Notamacropus eugenii: one gene and its partners. The protein of the gene in region 1 purifies or fractionates together with the protein of each later gene. This does not show direct contact. Links are inferred from orthologs where the notes say so. Each region holds a gene or a part of one and is shown in the gene's direction. Other genes may lie near its edges.

Region 1 (7,132 bases):
ACAGATATAAGGTCATACAAGTTGCAGAGCCACACTTATAACCTTGGCTTTCAGTGGAAAGATGCAATTGCGGAGTCAGAGGACTTGGGTTCAAATCCTACCTCTGATCTTTGTGACTTTATACAAGTTACTTAACTTCCCTGGGCCTCAACGTACTAATCTATAAAAATGGGGTCAGTGTAGAGGATGAAAGAAATCATACAATGTGGTCTCTGATGTCCTTCCTAGGTCTACGCCCATAACCCTATATCTCTACCCTGCTGCCTCTTCTGGTCATCTTTCTTCCTAAAACAGAATCCATTGCTGTCATATGGTCCTCTCACTTATGAGTAAGTATTGTTTAACTTTCTTCACAAGTCTGATGATACAATCTTCTGTCCTCAATCCGCTTTATTCACAAAGCAATGCAGTTACACCTTAAACTTCACTACTATCTGGGACTGTGCTACCTCCCAAGATGCCAAACTCCAAAGCTATTCCTTAATTCCAATGCCATTTTTCTTACTTCTCTCTCATTCCTTCTCATTCCATCTGATTTCTGTCTTCACCCTGATTTCCAATCAGTTAATCATTCAATAAACAGAGTCCATCGCCAGTGTCACTTGCCAGTCCTGACCCCTTCTTTGCCAGTGACTTCAAAGATCTTGGTTTGCCCTTCTAATCCTCCCTGGGTCATTTCCACCATTCCGTTCTTCCCTCTGAACTTGACCCTGGGGGGCTGAATATGCACAGAGAAAGTCACCATATCAAACTTATTGGAAAATAGTTGAATTCATATGGTATATGAATGTGTGAGGACAGGGCATTTTTGTCTTTTATTCCACAGTAGCTGGCACACAATAAGCACTTAACTGATTGACTTGTTCTGTTTGACAACTGAGATAACAGTGAGAGCAAACAGCAGATTTAGGCTTGACCTAAGGAAAACTTTCCTAGCACACTGGAACTATCCAAGAGTTGAATGGCTTGTCTTGGAAGGTAGTGGGTCATCACTTGAGGTCTCTAAGGAAAAACACCCTTGTCAGGTGTTTGTATTTGAGTCATTTCAGTCATGTCCAACTCTTTGTGATCCCATGTGGAGTTTTTGTGGGAAAGATACTGGTTTGTCATTTCCTTTTCTAGCTCATTTTCCAAATGAGGAAACTGAGGCAAACAGGGTTAAGTGACTTGCCCAAGGTCACACCCATAGTAAGGGTCTAAGCCTAGATTTAAACTCAGATCTTCCTGACTCCAAGGCTAGCACCCTATCCACTGGACCACCTAGATGCCCCAAGTGTATTGGATCTTTCTTCAGGTGCTGGTAGGACAAGGTGATCTTTCCAAACATGAAATTTTCTGATCCTGGGCAGAGAACTGGATTTAAGGAAATAGTGTGGTGAGAAGAAAACAGGGCACGCAGATGAGGCATGGGAAAGGGATTTGCTGAAAAAACAGAATCCTATGTATTTTAAAATGGGAAATTAAAAGAAGCAGCACCATAAGGAGAGTTTGGAGGGAGGGGACAGACTGGCGCACCCAGTAAATAGATAAGGCCACACCTGGGGCAACAGACACCTACACACAACTGACCCCAATGTTTCCTATGGAGCTCTGCCTGGTTAAGCTGTGTTGTCTAATAATCTTTTAAGACTGGCAGCAGCCCCAGCCTCTATTCAGGTGGCAATTCTCCTGGAAACTTCAAAGTGCTTTGGGCAGGAAAGAAAAAACACAAAAACTGGGCGGGGATCAGTTTAAGGGGGGAAGAAGAATCCTTTAAACATCTGTGCCCACTGCTCTCCAAGAAAACAACTGAAGTTTATAAAGCCTTTAAGATTTACAAAGTTCTGTATATATCCTGAATTCAATAGAGATCTGAACCACAACTCTGTGAGGTAAGTAATACAGATATCATCCTCCTTAATTCATCAATCAGTAATTAGGATTGTGAATCTCAGAAAAGGGAAATAGGATGCATATAGCTAGTCTTGGTGGGAAGGGTCTGATCCTCAATCTCTAAGTGACACAGGGCTCTAAGATAACAGTCTTCTCATTCACTTTCAAGACACACCCTTGCCCTGAAGCCCCCCTTTACTACATTAGGCCAATTACAGCCTTAGTTTACAACAAACTAACGTTTGTCCAAGGCTAACTCCTAATTGTTGGGGATACAAAGACAGCTAAGTCACTGAACCTGCTCCTGAGGAGCTTACAACCAAATGTGGGTGTAAAGACAAAAATGACTGTAAGAGAGAATGACTAATTGCAAAAAAGAGGTCCAGGGAGTCTCATGATAAATTTAAGTAGGAAGAAATCACCTCCTCAGCATGGGGGGCAGGGAGTAAGGAAAAGGAAAAGATTAAGGGAAGTGCCAGAGATAAAGCTGCTGCTTCACATTTGTTTCTCCAAACTGTAAACTCCTTAAAGGCTTGGGAAAGACATAATTATTTAGTAGCATCTATATTTGCAAAGGATTTTGAACATATTTTTTCACTGAATCTTCACAACACTCTGAGGTGGGTGGTATTATTATCCCATCTTCTGGATGGGGAAACTGAGGTGTGGAGTAGTGAGATGAGCTGGCGATACAGGAGAAGAGCTCGGGTGCCCTTGAATTCAGGCCCAGTGTTCTCTCTACACACTAGGGTCCCTGGCTGCTTAAGGAGCCTCACAGACTTGGAGCCAGAAGCGGCCTCGGGGGCTACCTGGCCCGAGGTCTGCATTTCACAGGGAGGCAGGAGGTGTTTCAGAGTCCCACGGGCAGGGAGTCCCAAGGCTGAGAACTGAACCTAGGCCCTCTGACTTCAAAGGAGGCTTAAAAAAAGCACGGCCCTACAGTCCTGGTTCTTGGAGTCTTTCATAACGTCCAGGAACAAATTCTACGAGAAATACCAGAACAGACCGTCCTGGCAAGCTGGTCAGCCCAAGTCCGGCGGCCACGCGTGCGGCTGCACCCAGGCTGGCTGGCGGGGGGCACGTCCTGTATGCCAGGACAGGCGAACACTGGGGTCTTCGGCGTCAGAGGGTCTGGGTGCCAATCCCCTCGTGTCCTCTCCCCGGTAAAAGGCTGGGGGCCCTTCAGCTCTGCACGTGGCCCGAGGCCGCTGGGCGTCCCCAGGATGACCTTGGAGTCAGAAGACCCGAGTCCAAAGCCTGCCTCCGACACCGTCCCGTCCGCGCCAGGGCTGCGCACGCGCCGGCGATCACCACCGTCCGGGACTGCTGCCCTGCCGGAGAAGTCGGGGTAACAGCACCTCCCTTGCGGGAGCCGAGGTCCAACGGGGCGACCTACTAAGCGCTCTGCAAGCCTCGAAGGGTGGCGTAGACGCTGCCCGTCAGCATCCCGTCTGCCTCAGGGTGCTCCTCCGGGAAGTGAGCTTCGCTGCGAGGGGCAGAGGGGCCGTGCACAGAGCGGCATGGCTGCGGTCACCGCGGCGGTCACGCAGCTTTCCGCGTGGAGCTGTGCGGCCCCCCGGCCCTTCCCGGAGCCTCAGTTTCCCCAGCTGTAAAAAGGGCGCCGTCTACGGGGGAGGGAGCTCGCCTGGGACCCCCGCGGCGTCGTGGCCCGCAGCGGTCCATCCTCTCCGCGGGAGCTGCCGGCCTCGGCCCTCGGGGCGCCCCGGTCCCCGGTTCCCGGCCTCGGTCCCGGGGCTCGCCCGCTCGCCCGCCCGCTCGCCCGCCCGCTCGCTAGCAGTTCGAAATGGCGGCCGCAGGCGCGCCGAGGCCCCGCCTCCAGGGGCGGGGCCTGAGCCAGGGAAGAGGGAACGATACCGGAGCCGATGAATGGGCGCCTGGGCCGTGCCGGCGGCGGGGGCCGCGGTAGGTGGGGGCGGCGCGGGGGAGGCGCCGCAGGTTAGGCCGAGGAGCGCCGAGCCTCCTCGTCGCGGACGCTGAGGCCGCCATTTTAGATGGAGGCAGCGAGCCGCCGCCAGCAGTGAGGAAGCGAGCGCGAGCGGGCGCCGGAGCGAGAGCGCGAGCGTGGGCGCCGCGGCGGGCAGAGAGCGCCCCTCCACGGGCTCGGCCGGGCCGGGACGGCGGCGGCGGGCGGCCCGGGCCCTCGACTCTGCGGCGGCCGGCGGGCGGGCCCCTGCCCGGGGACGATGCGGGGGCCGCCCGGGGCCCCCTCCCCCGGGCTGGGGACGCGCCGCCGCTGATCGGGCCTGGGCGCTGGGCGCACTCGACGCGCCGCCGCTGCCGCCTCGGCCCGGGCCGCGGGCACGCACGGGACGGGGCGAGACGGGACGCACGCGGCGCGCACCGGCCCCGCAGGTAGGCTGCCGAGCCGGCTCAGCCCGGCAGGCGAGAGCGGGGCCTCCGGCCCGGCGCGGCTCCTCGCCTGAGGAGGCCGCGGCCCTTCCGGGGAACGCGGGCCAAGGGAGACGGGCACAGCCCGCCGAGCCTCGGCCGGGCAGCGCCGGAAAGGGCCCTGAGCCCTTCCCGTCACAGATGAGGAAACTGAGGCCGGGAGTGGGGGTGGTTCATAGATGTAGAGATGCCAGAAACCCTCCCCCCTTACGTCCCGATGAGGAAACGGAGGCCCTGGGATGGGGGCCATCGTAGATCTGGAGCGTAGAAGGGACCCCCGACGCCTCCTCCCTGTGGAGGCCGGGAAGGCGATCGGGGAAGTGACATCTGCGAGTCGGCAGACGCTGAGGCTCGGGGTGCGAGGCCAGCCTGGCAGCCCCGAGTTTTGGTAAACACTGAGGAAGGCTTCCCAGAGCGAAGTCGGTGTCAGGAGCAATGGGACCTTTGCGGTGCAGCTGGAGACGGGGAGAGACCCTGGGCTCCTGGCGGCGCCTCTCCCTTCAGCAGTCCTGTCCCCCCCTCTCTCCCCAGGGTTTTTTATTTGGGGGGGGGGCCGGGTGGGTGAAAATGGGGAGGAGGAGAAAATCCTGAGTTCTCCTTGTGTGCGTGTGGTCGGGCGAGTGGAATAGTTAAGAGAACCTGTGTTCTTTTGCGCTGAAGAGGATGCTTTTGCCTGGTGAAAATGGATCGAGGGCTTGGTAGTTTTTGGAGAAAGGAACTGGGGCTGACTTTGCTGAAAGTAAGTAAATTAATGCTATTCTAAAGCGAAGGCGGTGTTGTAAGAAACTCATTTGCAAAAGGCTTGGGAAACATTGGTCCTGGAGTGTGAGCTAAGCTTTGCGTTCTTCGTGAAGAGATTCTTTCTCCATTCCTTCTCGTTTATTTCATACATCACTTGGTCAGTTTCCTTTTGTGGACATAATGTTAGCAGGACACGGGCAGATTCTTGGGTGTATGACCAGCTGCATAGGGCAGTCCCGGCGTATGGTAAACATAGACTGGGGTCCTATGGAAATTAGTTTATTTTAGTGTTTGTCCCTTTAAATGAGAATTATCTTTTCTGTTTGAGAACCAGATTTCTTTTGTGCTCTCCATGCTGAAACTGGTAAACTTTTGAAATGGCGGTTTTTATCATAGCAAAACAATATTAGTTGTTTCTTCCTTGTTACTTGGTTACGTGGGATTTCAGGTTGTGTATTCTGTACTTAGGCAGTAATGAGTAATGTTCTCTTAGGCCTTGTTTTTTATAGGTTGCCTTAAAAACAAAAGGGTAGATTGTAAAATGTAGTTCAGACTAATTTTTAGTGTTCTAGTTGTGTATGTTAGTATATGTTGGAAACGGTTGGGCAGCATCTAAACATGCAAGATGAAATCTGAGGATTGTGGACGGTAGAGAACTTGGAAAAAGACAGTTAACTCCCCCACCTGGAAACACACACTTAACAACAATAACAGTACCCATGTTGTTTGCCCTTGGTTCACGAAGGACCATGACATCAGAAAGGTGATTCCATGACGTCTGAGTGAGTTATAGTGGCCGTATCCAAGGTTAAGTGTGCAATTGAATTTTTTCTTAACCTTGAAATGCATTCGTTTTCTAATTAAAATCATTTTTACACACAAAAGGTTTTCATATCCACAAGTTTGTTAGAACAGCACTAATGCTCTTGTATTGACTGTGGTGACAATGTTCCTTTATTACAGTAATTTCTAAGTCATACTGTTTTGGTATGTAATGCATATACAATTAAGTCAGAGGCTGATATTTAATATCTCTAATGCTAGTCGGGTTGTTTTGAAATGGAAACAATTGTTTCATTTGAAGGCTAATACTAGGGGAGAATAGACTTGTTACTGTTTTTGTTTAGAACTTGTCTAATTAGGTACACAGGGGTTTATCATTGTCAGTTAGTGGAGACATGTTTGTGTTTTCCAGGAGGGAACTATTTTATGTTTCACTACCTCGGAGCATTCTCTCAAATTAACATTTAAAATAGAAGATCTTTGCGAAATTCACCAAAAAAAAGTTTACTGGGTGTGGTTTAATATAACTCAGGGTTAGGAGGGACTGGGTCACTGGAGAACAACAATATTTGGGTTCATAATTGAAACCTCAGACTCATATCAGAAGTTGATTGCTTTTGTAGTTTAAAACAAAGTATGAAATCTGGAGTATTAAATATTAGGGTAAATATAAAGATTGAATTTTCACTCCTAAGTTGTTTTCCTTGAAGCTTCTTTGAATCTGAAAGCTTTCTGGAGTTATGTTTCTTGAAGGCAAAATTTTGTTAATCTTTATCCCCTGTAACTCTCAACTCAGTATCTGTGTTCTAGTGAAATAATTCAATTTGGTTTAATTTTACTCTTTATGAAATAGAATCATAGATTGTTTAAATTTTTTAAAAAGCTCTATTCTATGCAGTTAATATTACAAGCTGTTTCTGCAGAAATTAAGAAATTAAGCAGAATAATTTTTATGTGTGATTAAGTTTTATGTGTGATTTGCAATTATATGGCCTCATAGTATTTTACTTTGGTAATGTATCATTTAATGGCAGAAAAACTGCTTGAGGTGGATTTCATTTAACAGTATTATAGACACCTTGGGAGTAGGTCTTTAGCTAAACATCATTGTATACCTTAGTGCGGACTTAAATTTCTTATCCTAATGATTGTTATTGAAAGATGGTAGATTAATTTGTCAGTCATTGGAAGTGTGGAAAGGGTATAACTGAGAAGCTTAAACATTAAAATGTTTTAAATAGACTTACAAAAGTTCTGTTCATAGGAGTGAAAATCTTCAAAGCAAAAGTCTTCAGATTTAAAAACTGAATTGCTCCAGTGCATTTGG
Region 2 (6,884 bases), on another chromosome or scaffold:
CCTTACTAGAAAGGATATGGGAGTGCAGGGAACCAGAACAATATACAGTTTTAACACAGATACTTACTAGCCATGTGACCCTGAACAAGTCATTTGACTGCTGTCTGCTTCCTTTTTCTCATGGAAGGCAATGGAGGTAATGATAGCACCCACCTCCCAGGGTGGTTGTGAGGCTAAAATAATAGTTGTAAAGCATTTTGCAAACTTGAAAGCACAATATAAATGCTAGCAGCTACTATAACTACTCCTCCTACCACCACCACCGCTACTCCTACTACTACCACCACCACCACTATACTACTACTACTGCTTTCAAAACTGTCCCATATGGCTTTGCTTCCTTCTGAAGTTCTTTCTGTTCTCTTTTTTGTAATTAAAAAATTTTTCAATGAGTATTTTTTTAACTAATATTTTTAACCTCCCCTCCCCAATCCCTAACTAGGAGAAAAAAAAATAAACAAGAGTCGGAGGAGAGTACTTTGTAACAACTAAAAATAATCAAGCAAAAAGGAATCCACACTGGAGCCATGTACCTAAAATGCATATCTCTTTGTTCATCTGGTGGTATCATTTCTCTGATGGTATGGTCTTCTTTGAAAACAAAGGACAAACACAACAACATCTGGTCTCCCCACCTCAAGCCTCTCTCTTCTGCAATAAGACTATTTTGTGTTGTCCAAGATCACCTAACTAGGAGGCACCACATGAAAGATACCAGGGACCTGCTTCTGGGAGAAGAAATAATTAATTCCCCTACTATATGGATGGGAACAGTGTGTTTCCACAGGCTGTATCTTTAAAAGGAAGAGGATGTGTTCTCTCTGCCTCTGTCTTTCTCTGTCTCTTTCCCCCATTTTCTCCCTCCCTCTCTCTCCTTCCTACCCCTGATCTGTCTCTCTTTCTCTCCTTCCCCTTCCTCCCTCCTTCTTTTCTTCTCTCTTTTCCCTTTCTGGCACTGTATAAGGCAGAGAGGTGCTATACATCCTCAGCACGGAGCTGCGGGCCGGGGTGGGGGTAAGAACCACCCTCCTTTTCCCATGAAGGGCTTTATTCTGTTTCATTTGTTCTTTTCAGTTCTAGGTACAAGAAGTGGAGTCTCCAGATCTGGACTTGAGCCACAGTGATCCTGGAGGATAAGATTCCAAGCTAGATGTTATTGCTAACTTAGCAGAGAAGCCCTGAAGAAGCCAGGTGACTGGGACTTGAGCCCAAGGGATGCTTTGAACTTGGAATTTGGTGGGACTCTGCTATATAGGAAATGAGCTAAGTTGTGAACCTCCTCCCCTTCTTCTCTTTAGAGATTGAGGTGGTATTGGGGAGAGGGAGGAGGAAGAGAATGTTTTCCATGTTTGTTCTTGCTATATTTTTAAAGCAAACACTCCTTCCTAAAAGCAAATCCAACTATTAACTGATTAAATGGAACTGGAGTGCCAAACACCCCCTAAAATTGGGAAAACCTCATTGGTGGGGGATTGAGCCAATGGCAGAAAGACCAGACACTTCCCAAACTACTTAAGGGTACCAGAGAACCCTGGGGGGAAAGATGAAATGTAGCACACTTGGTCTTCAGGCAGTGGGCCAGAATAGGCACTGTAATGCTTCCAAATATATTTTCCACCTAGCAACCAAAAGAGATTTTCTTAAGTGTGGATCTGATCATATTATCTCCCTCCTCGGTGAAATCCAGTGGCTTCCTATTGTCTTTACAATAACATGCATGCTATTCTGTTTGACCCTTTGCAAGCTGGGCCTATCTTTTCAGTCTCTTGTCCATGACTTCTGTTCTCCAGATAAACTTACCTTTTTGCTCTTCCTCACACTGGCCACTCCATCTTTAATCTCTGTTGCCTTGGCACCAGCTGACCTGCGTGACCAGAACTACTTCCTCCTCACCTCCACCTTCCAGATAGTCTCTGATTTTGTTCATGATTCAGCCTTGCAGAATTCCTTACAACAGCAGCAGCTAGATGACATAGGGGTTTTGAACTTGGCACATTGGAAGACTGATGGTGCCTTCGTCAGAAATAGGGAAATTTGGAAGAAGCAGGGCAGGGCAGTTTGCTCATTTCTAAAACAGGAATAATCATATTACACAACCTTCAGAGGTGGTGGTGATTATTTATTCATCTGTGTGAAACAAAATGAGAATGGTATCTTTTGAATCAGAGAAAAACGTTTCAAAGAGCGATGATTTGGATTGTGTATGCATCTCACAAGGTGCTGTCAAGTGGATAAAGATCTGACTGAAGAAACTGGGTCCAAGAGATCCATTGGACACTTTCTGTGTGACCCTAGACAAGTCACCTAACCTCTTAGTTCTCTGAGCCACCCCATAAAAAGGTGAGGATCAGTATTAGTAGAGAGTTTCCAACAACAATAATTAATAATAGCTTACATTTATATGGCATTTGAAGGTTTGCAAAGTGCTCTACAAATATTTCATTTTAGAGGAGGGGAATGGGAAGGGAATAAGCATTTATTTAGTATATTCTGTGCTGGGATGCTTTACAAATATTTTATCATTTAATCCTCACAAACACCCTGGGGGGGGGTGTAGGTGCTATTATTATTCCCATTTTGTAGAAGAGCAAACTGAAGGAGACAGAGATTAAGTGACTTGTCCAAGGTCCCACAGCTGGTAAGTATCAAAGGTCAAATTTGAACTTCAGATCAGATTTTTCTGAGTCCAAGCCTATCTATATGCTGAATCATCAAGTTGCCTAATCAATGATGCCTCAGATCTACTATATACATGCATACATTGTATGTAAGAAGGATTTTGTTATCTTTTTTAGAGTTCAGTTTCTCAGGATCCATGGGCATGGCAATGTCTAGTTTCCAGGTGTTTGACAATAATTCCCAGAATAATTCCAATGATTTAAGATAGCCATTCCCAGAATCACAGTGACAGTCCCACCGAGGCTGTGCGGTGGGGTAAGGAGTGACATAATATAATATTTACTATGCTTGCGCAGAATGACGATATTGCTGGTTAACCTGTGAGCTTAATGCTGGCAAGATGCCTTCTTTGTTGCCGTATAAAGCAACTGGGCACTGATCAGTGAGTGGGGGGGGGGGGGGGCCGAACCACTGGTAATGCATAGAGGAATGAGGTAGGAATACCTTCCTCAACCAGCTCCCATTGAAGTTTGAGGAGATTTAGAGGAATGCACAAACTGTGCCTTTCTCAATTTATGCCATGGAGAGGTAGGGCTAGTTGCCCCCTCTTCTTGCAGACCTCTTGGAGAAGGGTGATTGGGGAATGCTGCAGGAGCTGGTTCTCCCATTATCATCAACCTTTAGGAGAAGACTAGACTAGGATAAAGCTGATTAGTAACCCCTCTGAAGCTGTCTGCCTGTCTGACCAGATCCAGAGTAAACCTGTTAGAAGCTGGATTCCAAAGACCTCCAGTGCCTCCTGTATGTTACCTGTGACACATACATATGTGTGTGTATGGATATATACAGTCTATACAGTGGATCTGATGTAAATTGTGTACATGCAGAGTTAAATACTGTGTATATGGTGTGAAGCTATGTATACAAATAGTGGATCTGTGTACGTGTATATTCACGTATGTATTGTGTATGTGTGTGCATGTGGATTTCTATCTGTATCTGTAGACGTTATACAGTCTCTTTCCTGAAATACCTGGAGAACAGGGACAGTTCCATTTTTGTACTTTTATCCCCAGTGCCTACTACAGTGCCTGGCACACAGAAGGCGCTTAATAAATGCTGACTCATTGACTACACGGTTCAGGGTCTAATACGTTCGCGTGCACAACCTCCAACCCTCTTGCTTAGAGCGCAGACTGTTTTTCCACGCGCACCGCGGGAGCCTCCGCAGCACTAGGGGGCGGCATCGCGCTCACTCGCGCATGCGCTAGCCTCTCTAGCCCCCCTCCACCCGAGGCGCCTCGGTGTCTCCCGGAGGGAAGACGTGGACACGGAAGTGGCTGGCGGCCGCAGTGACGGAGGCGGGAACTGGATCGCGGAGTACCGCAACTGGCCGCGGAATCCTGGACGGAGGGTAGCGGGGGCAGCGCCAGGCCCGCGGGTACGAGGAGGTCGGAAGGGCAGGAACGTGGCGGGGGTCCGGGCCTCAGGCTTCTGAGGCTGTTATCGCCAAACGGATCCCTGGCCGTTAAACGGCCGTCGCGCGGAACCTTGCGGAGTGCCCGGGCGCGTGCCCGCCGCCGGAAGCCGCCCCCTCCCCCTGCCGAGCCCTCGCGCGCCCCCCTCCACTCCCCACATCTCCCGGAGCCATGGCCAAGAGCGGAGGCAAGGGGGCCAGCCTGCGCGACAAGCTGGACGGCAACGAGCTGGACCTGAGCCTGGGCGACCTCACCGAGGTGCCGGTCAAGGAGCTGGTCAGTGTGGGCGCCGTCCTGGGCCCGAGGGGGAGCAGGGTCTGGGAACCGGGGCCCTGGACTGGACACGTGTCATTCTGGGGGGGAATGGAGCCCCGCTACTAGCCGGGGCCGCGGAGGCCCCGCTTCCAGGCCCATCCCGGCGTCTTAGGCGATGCCCCTTCCCCCACCCCCGGGCCTCAGTTTCCTTCTCTGTGAAATGAGGGGCCGAGACGCGAAGATAGTGTCCGGCGCTGACCTCAGGTTCAGCCGATCCGAGGCGTAAGAGAAGCGGGGCGCCTGCTGTCTCTTTCTTAGGCCTGGAGGAGTAGGCCTTCCTGGAGACCTGGGTGTGGCTGAGGATTGGTGACAATTGGGAATTCTGCAATCCCAGCTGCTCGAAGTCGCCCAGAGCCATTGCTTGTGCTGGAAAAGTTGGGCTGAACTGGTGGGTCCGTCTCGAACATGTGGAAAGTGGATTGAACCCTAGAATGTTAGGACAGCCAGAGACCTTGGGGATCAGGCTATTCATTTTTACAGAGGAGGAGTTTGAAACCCCAAGAGGGGCAGTGGCGTGCCCAAAGGTTAGGATGCACACATTGGGGAAGGAGTATTCGACCTAAAACACCGGGGTTCAACTCTTGGCCCTACCACTTGTTAACATTATGATCTTGGGCAAGTCACTTTCCATTTCTGGACGTCATTTTCCTCATCTGTAGACTGAGTGGATCAAGACTAAATAAATGATGCCCCCAGAGTCCCTTCCAGCTGCAGTTTTTTGGTTCCTGTCTTATCTCTGGTCTTATTCTCAAATTCTTTCAACTCAAAACCAAATGGAGTTGGGTTTCCTGTGTTTAGCAAGGCATATTGGACAGGAATTCTTAATGGCAGTTAGATATATTTGGGGGGGGGGGTCATAAACTTGGATGGAAAAAATATATTCACTAACCTTTCATGGAAATTTAGTGTTTCCTTCCATTTTGAATTTTGGAAAACAGAAAAAAACAACTTTATTCTGAGAAATGGTCCATAGGCTTCATCTGATCGCCAAAGGTGTGGGCCAAAAAAAGTTAAAAAAAAAAACCAAAAAAACAAAAATAAAGCAACCCTGCTCTAGTCAGAAGGGGTGGTTCTGAAGACTTTTTAAGATGGATCTAGTATTGCTCTGAAGCCCTAAGTACTATTCTAGTATCCAAATTTTCCTTTGCTACATGCCCTGTGGCCACACTTTGTTCTTTCTATACTTTCATAAGTAACTGATGGCTGGCCTCAGTTTTTGCTCTATTTTTTGAACCCTGTCATCATTTCATTCTTGTTTTGTGCTTTTTAATCTATTCCGACTCCTCTACTTTAGAAGATATTCCATTAGCAAACAGATGTCACCAAGTATAATAACCTCTGACCAAATATGGATTTTACCTTTCTCCTCTGCTCTTTTCCTAGGCTGCTCTTCCAAAGGCCACAGTACTGGATCTCTCCTGCAACAAACTTACTTCGTTACCGGTAAGATGTGGTTCTCCTCCAAGTACCTGGGGGGATGTCCTTGCTCCAGGCTGGGGGACATGCCATGAGCATGAATCCGTAGGAGAGCCAATGGCTCTAATCAAATATATGGAGGCTAGTAGTTGTTATTAGGAGGAGCGATCAATAAGGACAGTCTTAATTTAAAATTATTTTACTGAATTTTTATAATGTGTAAGACCCTATGGTATATGCTGTGGGGGATACAATGAAATACATTTCTATCTTCATGGAAATTAAAGTCTAGTAGGGGAAATAAGATGACACAAATTAATCAAGAAAATAATCAAGCATAATCAGAAAACTGTATAGTGCTATAGAAGCTTAGAGAAAGGAGAAATTACTTCTGGTTTGGGTGATGTGGACTGAATGAATAAAGCATGTAAAGCACTGTGTTATGGCTGGGATACAGACAGAATAATCAAACTTCTACTCTAAAGAAGCTCACATTCTGATGGGGAAGACACATGGAAGGTTTTAACTGCTAATTGAATGAAAAAGTCCGTGGTCCTTAGGGTGCAGTAGCAAAGCAGATGGTAATGGCTCTTTAATATCATTTCCACCAGTAAAACGTTTGAGGAGGTAGAATTTGCGTTAGGTCTTGCATGGTGGCCAGGTCGAAGGTAGAGGAAATGATACTTCAAGTAAGAGTAAACAGCACATGCATAAAAAGCAAGAAGTTTTAGGCCATGTTTAGGGAAAGGAGAGTAGAGTTATTTTGCTAGTGTGGAGTGTATGTACACCTATATGTGTAGTAGGTATGAAATCTCAGAGGAGCTCAGTGTTCATGTATTTATCCCTGGCAGTAGAGACTGATGGTGGAAGAGTAGGGGTGGTAGGGCCAGCAGAGGGTGTCTGTTGAGATAACTTAGGTCATCAAAGCTGCTAATTTGAGAATGGGAACAGATAACTAGTTCCTCTTCTGGGCAGATCCAGCAGAAGCCATGAGTCAAAGCCATTCTTGGGAACTGGGTGAGAAACCAAGAGAAGCAGAAGGGGTATGAAGTCATG
Region 3 (6,938 bases), on another chromosome or scaffold:
TGATGATTTACATGGATTTACTTTAGAACTTGTTACTTTGCCAAAATTGTTCATTGTTTCAATTACTTCTTTAGTTGAGTCTTTGGGATTTGACATGATAGTTTCTAATTGCTATAAAAACAAACCCATAATGTTTCAAACATGCACATATATGTTATCACAAAGGAAAAAATATATTTGCAACACAACTGGGCAATTACTAACTGCTTAAGGTGATATTAAAGATTTTGTTTTACACCTGGGACCATCATCACAAACCACTAAATGGGAAATAGGAACTACTAGACTAGATGACTTTAAGGCAACACCATTTCCATAGTAGAAGCTAGATAAAAGTTTACTTTTATCTTTACTTTTACTTTACTATCCCTCTGATCTTAAATTAATAGGATCATAGGATTAAGAGCTAGAAAAACCTTTGTAATTATCTGATCACATCTTGAACTAGATATTCCTTAAACACCCTAAACTCATCATGTAAAACGAAGGTTTTATTTTTTATTTTTTTATTATTTTATTTGTTTTCAGTGTTCTACAATCACTTCCATATATCTTAGATTTTTCCCCTCCCTCCCTTCTCCTCCTATCAGGTTTTATTTTTTTTTAATGAATTTTTATTATTTTTTTTGTTTTGCCCAATAGCTAGATATCTCCCAAGGCTCTAAACTGAGTCCTCTTCTCTCTACACTATTTCTCTTAAAGATCTCATCAGCTCCCATAGATTCAATTGTCTCTATGCAGATGATTCTTAGATTTACTTATGCAGCCCTAAGCGCTGTCCTGACTTCTAGTCTCTCATTTCTACAGTGTGTTTGTCCTTCATTGTCGGAGACCATGCCATCAGAGAAATGATTTCTCTGCCTGTTGGACATCTAGATGTCCTGTAGATAACTTAAACTCAACATGTCTAAAAATGAACTTGTTGCCTTTTTTCTAAAACCTTCCCCTTTTCCTAACTTTCCTATTTCTATAAATTACTGTTACTACCCTATTACTTTAAAGTTTACTGCTACTACCATCTTCCCAATCACTCCAGCTCACAAACAACCTAGGTGTTATTGTTACTCCTCTCTCTCTCTCTCTCTCTCTCTCTCTCTCTCTCTCTCTCTCTCTCTCTCTCCCTCCCTCTCTCCCTCTCTCCCTCTCTCCCTCTCTCCCTCTCTCCCTCTCTCCCTCTCTCTCTCATTCTATATTCAATCTGTTGCCAACTCCTATTTTTACTGATTTTACCTTTATGGTCTCTTGTATATCCCCTTCTGTCCTCTGACACTGACACTGATGAGGTGCTTGTGCTTGGACCCCAAATTCAAGATCACATTTCTCCCTAGTTTCAAAACACTATCCCTGACAGTTTTCTTGAGTGGGCCCACCTAAGACAAACTACCTTTCCCCTCAATTACTCATGGGTGGGCCCCAGTAAGACAAACTATCTTTCCCCATTACAAGAACAAGCTGACCTCTGAAGAAATTCCCTTGTAAAAACAGGACTCTCTTGTAACCACAGAATTATCATGTATTGATTCCCACAGTTATCATATACAATCCAGAGATCAAGCTATAGACATCAACTCTCAAAGCTATCTTGCCACAGACACAATAGACCAAAAATACACCTCCTAGAAACTCCTTCCTCTAGTATCCAGTAATGAATGACTCCTGTGACCAAGGTTGTATGTTATCACTTTCTGCCAGATAATCCACTACTTTTCCTAAATAAGCTTTAGCTCACTCCTGTTAAGTTGCGGAGTTAGTTCCTTAAGGAGCTCTGCCTACCATATTGGCATTACAATAAACCTTTGTCAACTTGACTTAAAGAATGCTTGAGTCCATGAATTCATTCTAGATGACCCTTTCGGGTACTTCAGTCCTTGAGGGGTCCCTGAACCTCTAAAACCCACATTAGCACCACCCTGGTGAAAACCCTCATTACCTCATGCCTGAACTATTGCAGTGCCCTGCTGGTTGGTCTCCCTGCCTCACTTTTCATCCTCCATTCAACTTCCAAAGAAAACTTCCTGAAGAACAATTCTGATCATACCCCTCCTCCCTCCATACACACATATACATCCAATTTAATAAATTCCCGCGCTTCCCTATCACCTCCAAGATCAAATATAAAATCTTCTGTTTGGCTCTTAAACCCCTTGATAACCTGGCCTCTTCCTGTTTTTCTAGTTTTCTTTCATCATACTCCTCTCCATATATTCTGTGATCCATTGACACTGGCTTCCTTACTGTTCCTCTCATAAAACTCAGTCATTTTCACTGATTGTGTCCAGGTCTGGAACTCTCTTTGTCCTAGTCTCCACCTCCGGGCTTCCTTCAAGCTTCACCTAAAACCCCACCATTTGCATGAAGCCCTCCTTGATCTAATACTTTCCCTCTGGTATCATCTACAACTTATCCAGCGTTTCTTATTTGCATATGCTGTACATTGTCTCTACCTTTAAATTGAGCTGCTTGAGGGCTCAAGCAGAGATTGTCTTTTACCTTCCTTTGTATCTCAGGCACTTAACACAATGCCTGGCACACGTTGTTAGTCATGCCCAACTCTTAGTGAGCCTGCGGACCATAACGCAACAATGCCACACATTCCTGGCAAGGATACTGGAGTGGTTTGCCATGTTATCCTCTAGTGGACTAAGGCAAACAGAGGATAACTGCCCAGGGTCACACGACTACTAAGTTTCCAAGTGCAGATCTGAACCCAGGCCCTCCTGACTCCAACGCCCAGCCTGAGGTCCTTGATAAAGAACTGTTTGTTGACTCAACGCTGACAGTTAAGTGGCAGAGCCAGATTCTGACTTGGGTGCTGAGAGCCAAAGCCGGGGTTGACTCCACTACATTATGAGGTCCCTCTGGACTCCACATTTTATTCAAAACCTCTAGAGTGTGGAAACGCAGGCCCAGAGCTGGCTTTTGTCCTACAAGTGGCTTTCTGCCTGCCCTTGGCCAAAGGGCCCAGGCCTCCTCCAGCTCAGGCATTCCTTGGGCTTGTTTTCTGGGGGTCTCCAGGGACTCCCCCACTTTGTTAGAACTTTGTCTTTATCCAAAGCATGGCTGAGTACTTCTTCAGCTGCCAGGCTGCTGGGGGCAGGGGAGAAGGCTCCTCCCTGTGGGCTCCAAGGCCCACATGCTTCTGACAGCAGAGCCAGTGACCAAAGCAAGAGATGCCCCCACCCCTCATCTTTACAGCCATCTTATGGTCATCCAAGAGCAAAACATCCTCGGGCCAATGTGGAAATTAAACTTCTAGGCTGCCAGGGAGGCGTAGAGAGAAAAAAGAGAAATCCAAGCTAGCGGCCACGAGGAACTACAACTCCCAGAATGCAGCGTCAGTTCCGCCGGACTGGGCGGTTCCTTTGGCTAGCTTGCGTGGCATGCTGGGAGCCGCCGCTTCCACACATTGGATCTCATTCTCCTTCTCCTTGTTCGCCCTTCCCCCACCCCTACTTCCGCTTCTCGACTTTGGCCCCGCCTCCTCTAGAGAGGCTTAGTGACGGAGCGGGTCTCCGACAGTCTCCCCTCCTTGAATTTTTATTGGTTAAGCTCGGCTGCCGTTCAGGGGGTGGAACGGAGGTCCCGTTTTCTGATTGGTGGCTTGGGTTTGGCGCCAACTAGGAAAGGTGGGCGGGGCAGCAGCGGTACTCTGCGAGCGGCTCCTGCGACACCCCCGGGCAGCTGGGCAGGAGGTCCGCCGGGGGCTGCCGCGGTCCCGCTCCCCGCTCTCCGCCGCCGCCGCCGCCGCCGCGTCTGGGCCGATCGGGCCCGCGCCCCCGGCCCGAGGTCCGCCGGCCCTGCGCCCGCCCGGCTTGTTTGGGTTTAACCCTCGGCTTGGCGCGGCCCCGGAACCCCCGGCGTGGGCATCGCTCGCGGCCTGCCCTCGGGCCGTGTTTGTGTTTGACCGCGGGCCGGGCCCGCGCTCCGGGAGGCGGTGGGGGCGGCGCGGCGCGGGGCGAGGAGAGAAGAGAGGCGGCGCCGCCGCCGCTGCTCCGGATGGAGCTGGGCCCGGAGCCCCCGCACCGCCGCCGCCTCCACTTCGCCTGCGGCTCTCCGCCCGCCGTGGTCAAGGCCCTGTTCCCCGCCGGCCCCGGGGGGCTGTCCCCGGTCACCAACCTGGCGGTCACCATGGACCAGCTGCGGGGCCTGGGCAGGTGAGAGAGGCGGGGCGGCCTGGGCCCTCCCGGAGCCCCCCCGGCCCCGTCATTCCTGGGCAGCGCCCCCGGGGAGTGACCTTGGCCAAGTCACTGCCCCTCCTGGGTCTCGCTGGGCCGGCTCATCGCCCAGTCCGGGCTCCGAACCTATGCGGCACATACGTTCTGCCCCGTCGCACCTGCCCTCCTGCTCCTCATAACCACCCCTCCCTACAATGGGCTGATTTCCAGCCTCCTGTCCTTTACCCCACCTTCCTTCCCTCTTCCTTCTCCCCGCAGTGTGCACCATACTTCAGACTCCACAGTCCCCCCAACAACGTCCATTCTTCTCCAACCCCCCATCCTGCTCCCCTTTCCTTCACTCCACTGCCCCCTCCAGCCTTCCCCATCACCACCGCCTCCTCGTTCCGGCTCCTTCTCACCGCCTCCCTCATACCTCCATCTCCGCCAGCTCTCGGCTCCCCCAGCTTTCCCATGCTCTAAAGCCTCCCCACCCCTCTCTCTACAGGCCTTGAGCAGGGTCTCCAGGGGGAGCCTTCCGTTTCCGTCTTTTAGGCACATGGCTAAGTTAGCCACAGCACCTTGCCTGTGGCCCAGGCTCGGCCCCTGGCCTCCATGTTGCCAGGGGCCTGGGTGGTTCCGCAGCGCCCCAGTAGGTCTGAGAGATGCTTGGGAGGAGGCTGAACAGAAGGCTTGTCCCTCCTTAGCCACACCACCCTCTTGCTTCCTTGCCTTGGACTCCTTTCAGTTTCTGGAATACTAGTTTCCATTGTAACCTTGTTCTGAATTTCCCTCAAATAAGCATGCAACCCCACAAGAGTAAGGAGGTACTCCTTCTGGAGGTGGAGGGCCGGGGGCCTGGGTGGCATTAAGAGCTTTGAATCCCACCGGGCCTTAGGTGCTGTGCTGGAGAGGAGTTGTGGTTGCGGGAGGTGGTCCTTGTGGGACAGCAGGTAGGGCCAAAAAGCTGTTAAATAGCTTGATGTTTTCCCTCTGTCTCACGGTGACTCATAGTCCGTGGAGAAGAGGAGTTGTTCTTATCAGATTCCAAAACTGCATGTAAAGAATGGTTTGGTTTTGTGTGCAGTGAATGTGAGCATCAGCTGGAAACAAAGAAGAGCGGCAGCCTGCAGCGGACAAGCTCCTCAGAGTCTACAGATTCAGGTATTCTTTCATTCTACGCATAACAGATATTTGTTGTATGTGCCCACTGTGCTGGGGGAGGCCTTGGGAAGGAGACGAGATACAACAAGCCCCTCTTTTTCATGAAGCTTCTAATTTAATACAGGAGGCACATGTACATAAGTAATTGAAAGGTAAGACAGTATGTGATAAGTGCCATAGAAATAGTATAATATGAATTATTGCAGTGTCTGAAAACAGGTTAATTTTCAGTAGGAATAAATGGAGATTGGAGTAGAGTGACCCTCCAGACAAAGGGAATGAATGGTGTAATCAGAGGCTTGTTGAATGTTAAAGGAAGGTAGGAAAGGACAAGACAGGTCCTGGGAATAGTAAGTGGTTCATTTGGTTGAAGTGGGGGGGTATGTAGAAGAGTACCTGGAGGAAAGTTTGATTCTCTTCAGATTTCCAGTGTGCATGGTTATCTCTTACCACTTGGAAGGAGAAGAGGGAAGTGAAAAATGGTTTGAGGGTAAGTAGTATGCAGATTCCATTGTGACTGAATGCCCAGAAAATAAAAGTTGCCTGGGGGCTGGTGAGTCCAGGCTACTCCGAGGTTGGTATATAAATTATATTAAACCTCTAAGATCTTCTGTCTTTGGGGAGCAAGAATTCCTTGTTAGGTGCCATTTTCTTAAACATAAGTCAGAAACCTACCAGATCTCTTCGCAGTGGCTCTAATTTGTATTTGTTCCTGTTACCCATGGATAAATTGATCTGAATTAGAGATTGGTGCCTTTTGACCAGATGCAGTCTACTTGCAGCAGGGCTGATCAAGTACTTGCCATCTGAGAGGGAGATGACATGGATATTAACCATAAACCAGATAATCCCTACCTGAATACTCAGAAGATGGTTTAACAATTCATCTAGCCTACTTTTCCCTTAAGTCTTATTTCACTGATGGTAACTCCAGAGCAGAGGGAAGCATTATGTCTCCTTCAAAGGCAGCTAGATTGGTAAAGTAAATAGAGCTCTGGACCTGGGGTCAGGAAGACCTGAATTCAAGTCTGACCTCAGATGACCTTGAACAAGTCACTTAACCTCTGTCTGCCTCAGTATCTTATTTGTAAAATGGAGGTGATAATAATAGCACTTACCTCCCAGGGTTGTGGGATAACATGCCCTATATGAACACTAGCTTTTATGTCAGAATCCATGTAAAGTGCCGCCACACACCCCACTCCATACACACATACAACCTGAACCAATCTGGAGTCCGTCACTGTAGGCTGATTGCCTCAAAAAACAGATACTGAGTCTCAGGTAATTACAAACCATGTTCACCCTGAAGTTCCTGGGGTAGCCCACTGGCTTCTTAAAAGTTTGAAATGATTTCAAATGAGATGTTTAGAGTTAATAATAAAAGAAATTAAGCTATAAAAACAATTTACAAAACCTCTGGATCACAATGGCCGTGTAGTAAAGACTTTTTTTGTGCCCCAATAGGTTTTTGTCTGGATTCTCCTGGGCCCCTGGATAGAAAAGAAAAGTATGTATTTGCTTCTTTTAATTTTTTTTTTTAAATACCAAATGAGAATATTATTAGAATCCTGATTGACTAGGAATCTGGACTAAGATGTCCCACGTGAATGCTGTTGC
Region 4 (7,743 bases), on another chromosome or scaffold:
CAGGCAGTGACTCGGAAGAAGGATAACCGCTTTGCTGTGGCCTTGGATTCAGAACAAAACAACATTCACGTCAAGGACATTGTGAAGGTCATCGATGGTCCCCATTCGGTAAGGATGGAGGTGGTGCACTGGCAAGGGAAGTGGAGTTTGGGCTGAGCTGGTGGGGAAGGGAGAAAGCTTGAGGGGCAAGAGTAGAACCCTAGAGGCATATTCACTCTGTCTTTCTCCTTAGGGCAGAGAAGGAGAGATCAGGCATCTGTACCGAGGATTTGCATTTCTCCACTGCAAGAAGCTGGTGGAAAATGGGGGCATGTTTGTCTGCAAGACCCGAAACTTGGTGCTGGCTGGGGGCTCCAAAGTAGGTCAGGTTGGGGGCCAGCTGGTTGCAGGGGGGTGGGGGCAGGGGACCATCTTTGAGAAGTAATTATAAAAACCCCCATTTCATAGAATTCTCCAAAGTGTGCAGAGCCTGTGACCTGGGGGAGAGGGGGAGGAAGGCAGGGGTGGGGCATCCTCTCTCCTCACTGCTTACTGCCCTCTCATTTTTCTCTCCCAGCCTCGAGATGTCACAAACTTCACCGTGGGTGGCTTTGCCCCAATGAGCCCTCGAATCAGCAGCCCCATGCACCCTAGTGCTGGAGGTGAGCAGGGAGGTGGGGAGGGATGGAAATCTGGGAAGCCCTGGCTTGGGGAAGAGACTCAGACCAAACAGAACCTGGGAAAGGGGCCTGGGACCAGGACAGGGTGATGGCTGAAGAGAGGCGAGTCAGGAAGGAGGTTACTGGGGATCTCCCACACTTTTGACCTCTCCCTTCCTGCCATTATGATCTTATAGGTCAGCGGGGAGGATTTGGGAGTGCTGGTGCTGGTGGCATGAGCCGTGGCCGGGGCCGTAGAGATAATGACCTTATTGGGCAGACTGTTCGCATCTCTCAGGGTCCATATAAAGGTGAGTCTGGGCTGGTGTTGAGGAGGAATGGATAATGTAGGGCTCTTGAAGATGCTGAGCGTGGATGGCCCCCAACCCTTCCTGTGCCTTCTTTGCCCAGGCTATATTGGGGTGGTGAAGGATGCCACTGAGTCCACAGCCCGAGTGGAGCTTCACTCGACCTGCCAGACCATTTCTGTGGATCGCCTGCGGCTCACCACAGTGTTAGTAGAAGGGGAAGGTGTTTTGGGGCTGGGAGGAATCCATTGTGCCTCACCGTCCCCTTTGTCCATACACTATCTGTCTTTTCTTCTCACTCTGCCCTCCCGTGTTTCCCTGCAGTGGCACCAGACGTCCAGGGGGCATGACTTCAGCCTATGGACGTACTCCGATGTATGGCTCTCAGACACCAATGTATGTCCAAGGCTCCCGTACTCCCATGTACAGTTCACAGACGCCTCTGCATGATGGTGAGTCTCCTCATCCTGGGGCTATCCAAGGGCTGAGGAATAGTGTGTGAGGAAAAGGAAAGAATGTGTGTGTGTGTCGGTTTGTGTGCGTGTGTACACACGCACATATTCTTCTGGGAGTCGGTGATGAGGACAGCCCTTCAGGCTGATGCAGACTAAGCGGCTGGGATCCCATGGCCCTGTCTTCCTCTTGTGCAGGCAGCCGCACTCCACACTATGGTTCCCAGACTCCCCTTCATGATGGCAGCCGTACACCAGCCCAGAGTGGTGCCTGGGACCCCAACAACCCCAACACACCATCCAGGTAAGGACAGGGCCATGTCAGGGGACTTGGTCATGGGGAGGGTCTGAGATGGCTCTGCAGTGGGGGTGAGTATTTTCCCTCACCAGCCATCTTGTTTTCTCCTCCCATGCAGGGCAGAGGAAGAGTATGAGTATGCCTTTGATGATGAGCCTACCCCATCCCCACAAGCCTATGGTGGGACCCCCAACCCCCAGACACCAGGCTATCCTGATCCCTCATCGCCACAGGTCAATGCACAGTACAACCCCCAGACTCCTGGAACCCCTGCCATGTAAGTGCTGATGGGGCCGCCCCCCTTGGCTGCTTTTCCAAATCTCCAGGTTTTCCTCCACTCCATGGCCTTGAATCACTTCTCTAAGGTGCCTTCCCCTCCCTGACTTGTCTCCAGGGGACTCTTCTCCCTAGACTCATCGAGGTGTAAGGCAGGGGTGTTGGTCTCCCATGGGCCCAAACCAGATTAAAGTGTCATTAAGAAACGTTTAAGAACGTAAATGAAAATGCAAGAAGACATAGGTAACTTAGGTTACAGTTTAGAGTCAGTCAGTGTGGGGCTGTAGGAATCCTCAAGCATGGAATTTGAGTGGGAAACCCCTGATGTGAGGGAGCTTAGAGATCAGTCCCATCCCTCAGGCCAAGCTGCTGCCCACCCCCTTCCTGCCCTCCCTGGAAGCATCCCTTGCCCTGTTCTGACCCTTCATGGCCTTGGACCGAGGTGGGAGCTGTGGGTTCCTTCTGTCCCTATACTCCCTGGCCTCTCCCTCAGGTACAACACGGACCAGTTTTCACCCTATGCGGCCCCCTCGCCACAAGGTTCCTACCAGCCCAGCCCCCAGAGTTACCACCAGGTGGCGCCGAGTCCTGCTGGCTACCAGAACACCCACTCCCCAGCCAGCTACCACCCCACACCCTCGCCCATGGCTTACCAGGTGCTGAGCAGAGACCTTGGGGAGACTAGGGCTGGGTGGGCTGAGAGGGCTGAGAACATGACCATGTGGTCGGGGCTTAGCACACAGGTGCTTAAAAAGTGTTTAGTGAATGGGATGATCACCATAACTGACCCTTCTTTCCTTTTTAACCCTAGGCTAGTCCTAGCCCTAGTCCAGTGGGCTATAGTCCAATGACCCCTGGGGCACCATCCCCAGGTGGCTACAACCCTCATACACCAGGCTCTGGTATTGAGCAGAACTCCAGTGACTGGGTGACCACAGACATCCAGGTGAAGGTTCGAGACACCTACTTGGACAGCCAGGTGGTTGGGCAGACAGGCGTCATCCGAAGTGTTACGGTATGTAGGGGAGATGCACAGAAGGGCCTGAGGTGAACTAACCCCAGCTCTTCACCTGATGAGGCAGGGAAGGGCTTTGTCTTCTTTTTCTGGGCAGCAGCTGGTGGGAGGTGAGGAGGTTGGCTCTCTGGTGCTAGGCCTGGGGGCCTGGACACCTGGGGCTTTGGTGGGGGTGGAAATCAGATGGCTTGAAGTAAGCCTGGTGACTGGTGCTGAGTGCTTGAGTTGGAGTGGCTTTAGGGTCCTGGTATGGGGACTGATTATCCCTATCCCCTAGGGGGGTATGTGCTCTGTGTATTTGAAGGACAGTGAGAAGGTGGTCAGCATCTCCAGTGAGCATCTTGAGCCCATCACTCCTACCAAGAGCAACAAGGTGAGGGGGTCTAGGGGGTGCTTGGAGAGGGTGGCGTGAGAGGGCAGAACTGCTGGGGTAGCAGCTGGGGTCGGAAGAAAGCACTTCGGCTCTCCTCTCCAAAGGGGGGTCCCTCTTGCCCTAGCACCTCGCTGAAGGTGGGATCCAGCCTCTTCTTCTCTTGTCCAGGTGAAGGTGATCCTAGGGGAGGACCGGGAGGCCACAGGGGACCTGCTGAGCATCGATGGGGAGGATGGCATTGTGCGGATGGACCTGGACGAGCAGCTCAAGATCCTCAATCTCCGGTTTCTAGGGAAGCTCTTGGAAGCCTAGAAGGAGAGGTGGAGGGGCCTCCTCACCCACCCCCACCCCACCCCATCCCCACGATTCTCCCCAGGCAGGGAGCTGGGAGAACTTGGCTGGTCTATTTTTGTTGGTTGCTTTTTGAAGATTCTCTAACCACCTGCAGGGCTGTCCACGGAGACGTTTCCCAGCTCTAGCCCACCCCAACCAGCTTGCTTTGTCTGTGATCTTTGAATAAAAGATTGTTTGATCAGTGGTGTCCTTCTCAGCTGTGAAGGGATCCTGAGGTGGGGACTGGGCTGGGGGGAGACAGGTTCTGACCAAGCCAGCAGAGGGGGAAAGTCAGACGGCTGAGCGCCTCCCGCCCTCGCCCTCTGCTCTGCTTCCCCAGACAGACGGAGCGCGCTGGGCACCTGGCAGGCTCCCCTGGCTCCCCTGGGGTCCGGGATCCTGCGCGCTCCTTGGGGCCAAGCAGCAGGGGGCCCCCCCTTTCCGGACCCTCGCCTGAAATGCTCCCAGTGACCGCCCTGACCATGGGTCTCTCGGTGGTCAAGTCCCCAGGCCTTTGCTCTCTGTGGGGCGGCCTCCCTTCCCCCTAGGGTTCCAACTGGGCACCCCTCCATCTCCAAGTCATGCCTTCTGACCATGGGTGACCCCAGGGCTGCCCTGCACCCTCCGGCTTCCCTCGGGATCTCAGCCCCCGGGGATTGGGATCATTCACCCAAAGCTGCGCGGTCTGCCCCGCTCCATCCACCCCAGGACCCCCCAAGCCCTCCACTATCCTACCCCCTGCTGAGGCGCGGGAGGGCTGAGAGCACGTGTGTCGGCTGGCTTCGGCCGCAAGAAGCTTTTTTGACCCTCTCTGGGCCCCGTCATGACCGGCGCTTGACTTCTAGACGCTCAGGTGTTTGGGGGTGGGCGAAGAGATGCCGAAATTGGGGGGAGGGGAGAAATGCAGAAGACAACCTCCTCTCGTTGGCTGAGGTCTCAGCTCTCGCCGAAGTCCATTGGCTGTTCTTGAAAGGGGCGGGAAAAACAGTAACTTTGTTTCTTCATTGGCTAGAAGCGCGAGCCCCGCTCCGTGCACTCATTGGTCGGGCCCCGTGGGAGAGGGCCGAACGGGGCGGGGCTCGGCGGCGGCGGCGGTAGCGTCCGAGCAAGATGGCGGCCTCTGTGGCGACTGTGGCGCTGCCCTCACGCCTGCAGGGCTGGCACTGGCTGCGACTGCGGTTGCGGCTGCGGCCCCAGCTCGGGCTCGTACCCTTGCCCAGGTCCTTATGCGCGCGGATGGCAACTCCGCCGCGCGGCCCAGGACAGGTGAGCAGTGCGCGTGCGCGCGGGGAGCGGACGGGGAGGGGGTCTGGGGGGCTGCGGAGGGAGGAGGAGGTGTGACGCGAGCCCACGTTGGGTGGTGGGTTCTCCAGGTTCTAAATTCAGCCCCCCCCCCTTGGTCTTGCACCCTTGTGTGGCGGGCTCCCACGTGGAACCCGGGACCTAGTTGCTAGCCCCGCCCCCAGGCACCCCACGTCCGGTTACCCAGAGCCCCCTTCCCCAGTGTCCCTGGTGTCCCGATCCCCAGGCTCCCTCCCCCTCCCCCAGTGTCCCTGGTGTCCCGATCCCCAGGCTCCCTCCCCCTCCCCCAGTGTCCCTGGTGTCCCGATCCCCAGGCTCCCTCCCCCTCCCCCAGTGTCCCTGGTGTCCCGATCCCCAGGCTCCCTCCCCCTCCCCCAGTGTCCCTGGTGTCCCGATCCCCAGGCTCCCTCCCCCTCCCCCAGTGTCCCTGGTGTCCCGATCCCCAGGCTCCCTCCCCCTCCCCCAGTGTCCCAGGTGTCCCGATCCCCAGGCTCCCTCCCCCTCCCCCAGTGTCCCAGGTGTCCCGATCCCCAGGCTCCCTCCCCCTCCCCCAGTGTCCCTGGTGTCCCGATCCCCAGGCTCCCTCCCTCTCCCTCAGTGTTCCAATCCCCAGGCTCCCTCCCCTTCCCCCAGTGTCCCTGGTGTCCTGATCCCCAGGCTCCCTCCCCTTCCCCCAGTGTCCCTGGTGTCCTGATCTCCAGGCTCCCTTCTACTCCCCACAGGGGCCCCAGGCCCATCTGGATCCCTTGCTTCTTGCTACCATCAAAGCCACATATTCCCACATCCCCAGCCCCTGGAACCTCCAGGGACTCAAACGTCCCCCTGCCCCTTCACGACAGGACCCAGGTCTCTGCTTCTGTCCCTGGGACCACCCAGGCGACCTTTGCTCCCAAACGCACACTTTCTTCCAGACTTCCATTATCTGGGTCCCCCATTCCTAACGTCCTTTAGAGTCCCCAGTGCCTGGACCCAGCCCTCTGACCCCCCCAGGCCCAGCGCCTCAGGAGCTCAGCTCCCAGGGCTCCAGAGACAAATCCTCAACTCAGCAGCAGCAGCTTGTGGGGAAACGTGGTCTTTCTGTACCAGTGGATGTGGCAGAGAGAAATAGGTGGGGGGTGGGGCATCAGGGAGAAGATCCAGAAGAAGGCAATTAAACAGGCTAGGGAGTCTTTGGAGGAGATGAGAATGGAATGCATGACAAGCACAGCCTAGGCAAAGGCTTGGAGGCTGGAGACTGAAGAGCAGCCAGATTGCTGAAACTGTAGCTTGTTATGGGGGAAGGATGTATAATCCTGGAGAGGTTCTGGGAGCCAGGCTGTGAAGGGTATTAAGTATTCCTTCCAGTCTTGTTCTGGGGTGCCAGAGGAAGCCTGGATTGGGGAGAGAAGGGTTGCAGTGATCCAGGTGAGGGGTGAGAGGGGCACAAATGAGCTCTGGCCACCCCCACACCCGGCCGCCTACCCTTCAGGGGCCAGGCATCTGGCTTTTGATGGGACTCTGAGACCTGTGGCCATTGGCAGGTATTGGTGGTGAGCCTGGCCACATGCTGGCCTCAGTTACCTCGTCTGTAAAATGAGGGTCTAGTAATCCCTCTAGAACAGGTAGCAGCACAGGGGTGTGATGCTCCAGTGAACTAATGTCTCTGAAGACTTGTCATCATTCCTGAATGTCAGTTGACGCTGTTGTTGTGTTAGGGGCTGCTAGGGAGCACCGTGGTGCACAGATCCCAGACCTGGGCTTGCAGGAGTTGAAATCCAGCCTCAGATGCTTAACCACTTCTTGCCTCGGTTTCCTCATCTGTAAAATCGGGATAATAACAGCACGTCTCCCCAGGGTTGTTTGAAAATCAAAGAAGACACTTGTAAAATGCCCAGCACTGGGCTTGGCACATAATTATGCTCTGCAAGTGTTGACCACTTAAGTACTTAGTAGGGTGCTCAGCACACAGTAGGCATTTAGTCAATGCTTATTTCTGCCTTTATTTTTACAATTTTTGTTATGCAGTTCTTTGGTTTTTACAACATCTCCTGTATAAGTATATCTCTACCCCCCTACCCCTTGACTTATCCTTGGAAAGGGAGAACAAACAGAAAAAGGAAAGGGAGCAGTTTGCACCAAAGTCACACCCTCCTGGTGGCACCCCTGGGTGCCTGTCCTTCTCTGGCATGGGTCATCCGTGAAGCTTGGGGTTATTTGGTTATTTCTGTGGTGGGTGTGTCCTCTCGACTTCCTTAGTCACAGGAGCCCCCTGGTCTGGGCCAGGGCCAGGCCCTAGGAAAGGCTGATATGGGGCAGGGAGGGAGCACCTTCTGCTATGCCTTCCACACTCTGTGTTTGTTGCCAGTTCTTTGTTTTTACCTAAGGTGACCCTTGGCATGTGGGGGGGGGTGGAGCTTTCCTTGTCATCAGTGACCTCTTTGTAGTAGGGGCCTGGCACTGCCACCTTTGGGTCACAGGGCATGGTCTCTAGGTATGTTTTATAAGCTTCTTTTCCAATTTGCTTTTTGGATTGGGTGTTGTGGTTACCCACCCTGGGGTCCAACTGGATTGGTGACTGAGTTTGAATCCTGGCCCTGCCATGCCCCATCTGTGACCTTGGGCAAGTGAGCCTCTTGGTCTGCCAGTATCTGGTCCCCTTGGCACTTCCCAGTCTGGGACTATGGAGCCTGCCACCTCCAGGCCACATGTGGCCTTCTAGCTCCTCAAGGGTGGCCCTTTGACTGAATTCAAACTGGGACTCAGAGACCA

What was found.
Region 2: the proteins of RAF1 (region 1) and LRRC59 purify together in Homo sapiens (affinity purification with mass spectrometry; 3 studies listed by BioGRID and IntAct, with this or other methods). This does not show direct contact. The link is inferred for Notamacropus eugenii from reciprocal best matches to the Homo sapiens genes RAF1 and LRRC59.
Region 3: the proteins of RAF1 (region 1) and CDC25A purify together in Homo sapiens (affinity purification with western blotting; 3 studies listed by BioGRID and IntAct, with this or other methods). This does not show direct contact. The link is inferred for Notamacropus eugenii from reciprocal best matches to the Homo sapiens genes RAF1 and CDC25A.
Region 4: the proteins of RAF1 (region 1) and TIMM50 purify together in Homo sapiens (affinity purification with mass spectrometry; 4 studies listed by BioGRID and IntAct, with this or other methods). This does not show direct contact. The link is inferred for Notamacropus eugenii from reciprocal best matches to the Homo sapiens genes RAF1 and TIMM50.

Annotation. Positions count from the first base shown.
Region 1 is NC_092874.1:432,306,424-432,313,555, forward strand, and holds the start of RAF1 (RAF proto-oncogene serine/threonine-protein kinase), read left to right. Parts: upstream 1-4,116; 5' UTR 4,117-4,245; intron 4,246-7,132. UniProt on the Homo sapiens protein: Serine/threonine-protein kinase that acts as a regulatory link between the membrane-associated Ras GTPases and the MAPK/ERK cascade, and this critical regulatory link functions as a switch determining cell fate decisions including proliferation, differentiation, apoptosis, survival and oncogenic transformation.
Region 2 is NC_092873.1:360,388,776-360,395,659, reverse strand, and holds the start of LRRC59 (leucine-rich repeat-containing protein 59), read left to right. Parts: upstream 1-3,877; 5' UTR 3,878-4,268; coding exon 4,269-4,373; intron 4,374-5,795; coding exon 5,796-5,855; intron 5,856-6,884.
Region 3 is NC_092872.1:13,383,118-13,390,055, reverse strand, and holds the start of CDC25A (M-phase inducer phosphatase 1), read left to right. Parts: upstream 1-3,921; 5' UTR 3,922-3,996; coding exon 3,997-4,154; intron 4,155-5,241; coding exon 5,242-5,318; intron 5,319-6,785; coding exon 6,786-6,828; intron 6,829-6,938. UniProt on the Homo sapiens protein: Tyrosine protein phosphatase which functions as a dosage-dependent inducer of mitotic progression. Directly dephosphorylates CDK1 and stimulates its kinase activity. Also dephosphorylates CDK2 in complex with cyclin-E, in vitro.
Region 4 is NC_092876.1:32,239,741-32,247,483, forward strand, and holds the start of TIMM50 (mitochondrial import inner membrane translocase subunit TIM50), read left to right. Parts: upstream 1-4,727; 5' UTR 4,728-4,803; coding exon 4,804-4,959; intron 4,960-7,743. Other genes in the region: SUPT5H (transcription elongation factor SPT5), read left to right, coding at 1-108, 233-358, 557-641, 836-949, 1,050-1,152, 1,271-1,398, 1,597-1,702, 1,815-1,973 and 4 more. UniProt on the Homo sapiens protein: Essential component of the TIM23 complex, a complex that mediates the translocation of transit peptide-containing proteins across the mitochondrial inner membrane. Has some phosphatase activity in vitro; however such activity may not be relevant in vivo.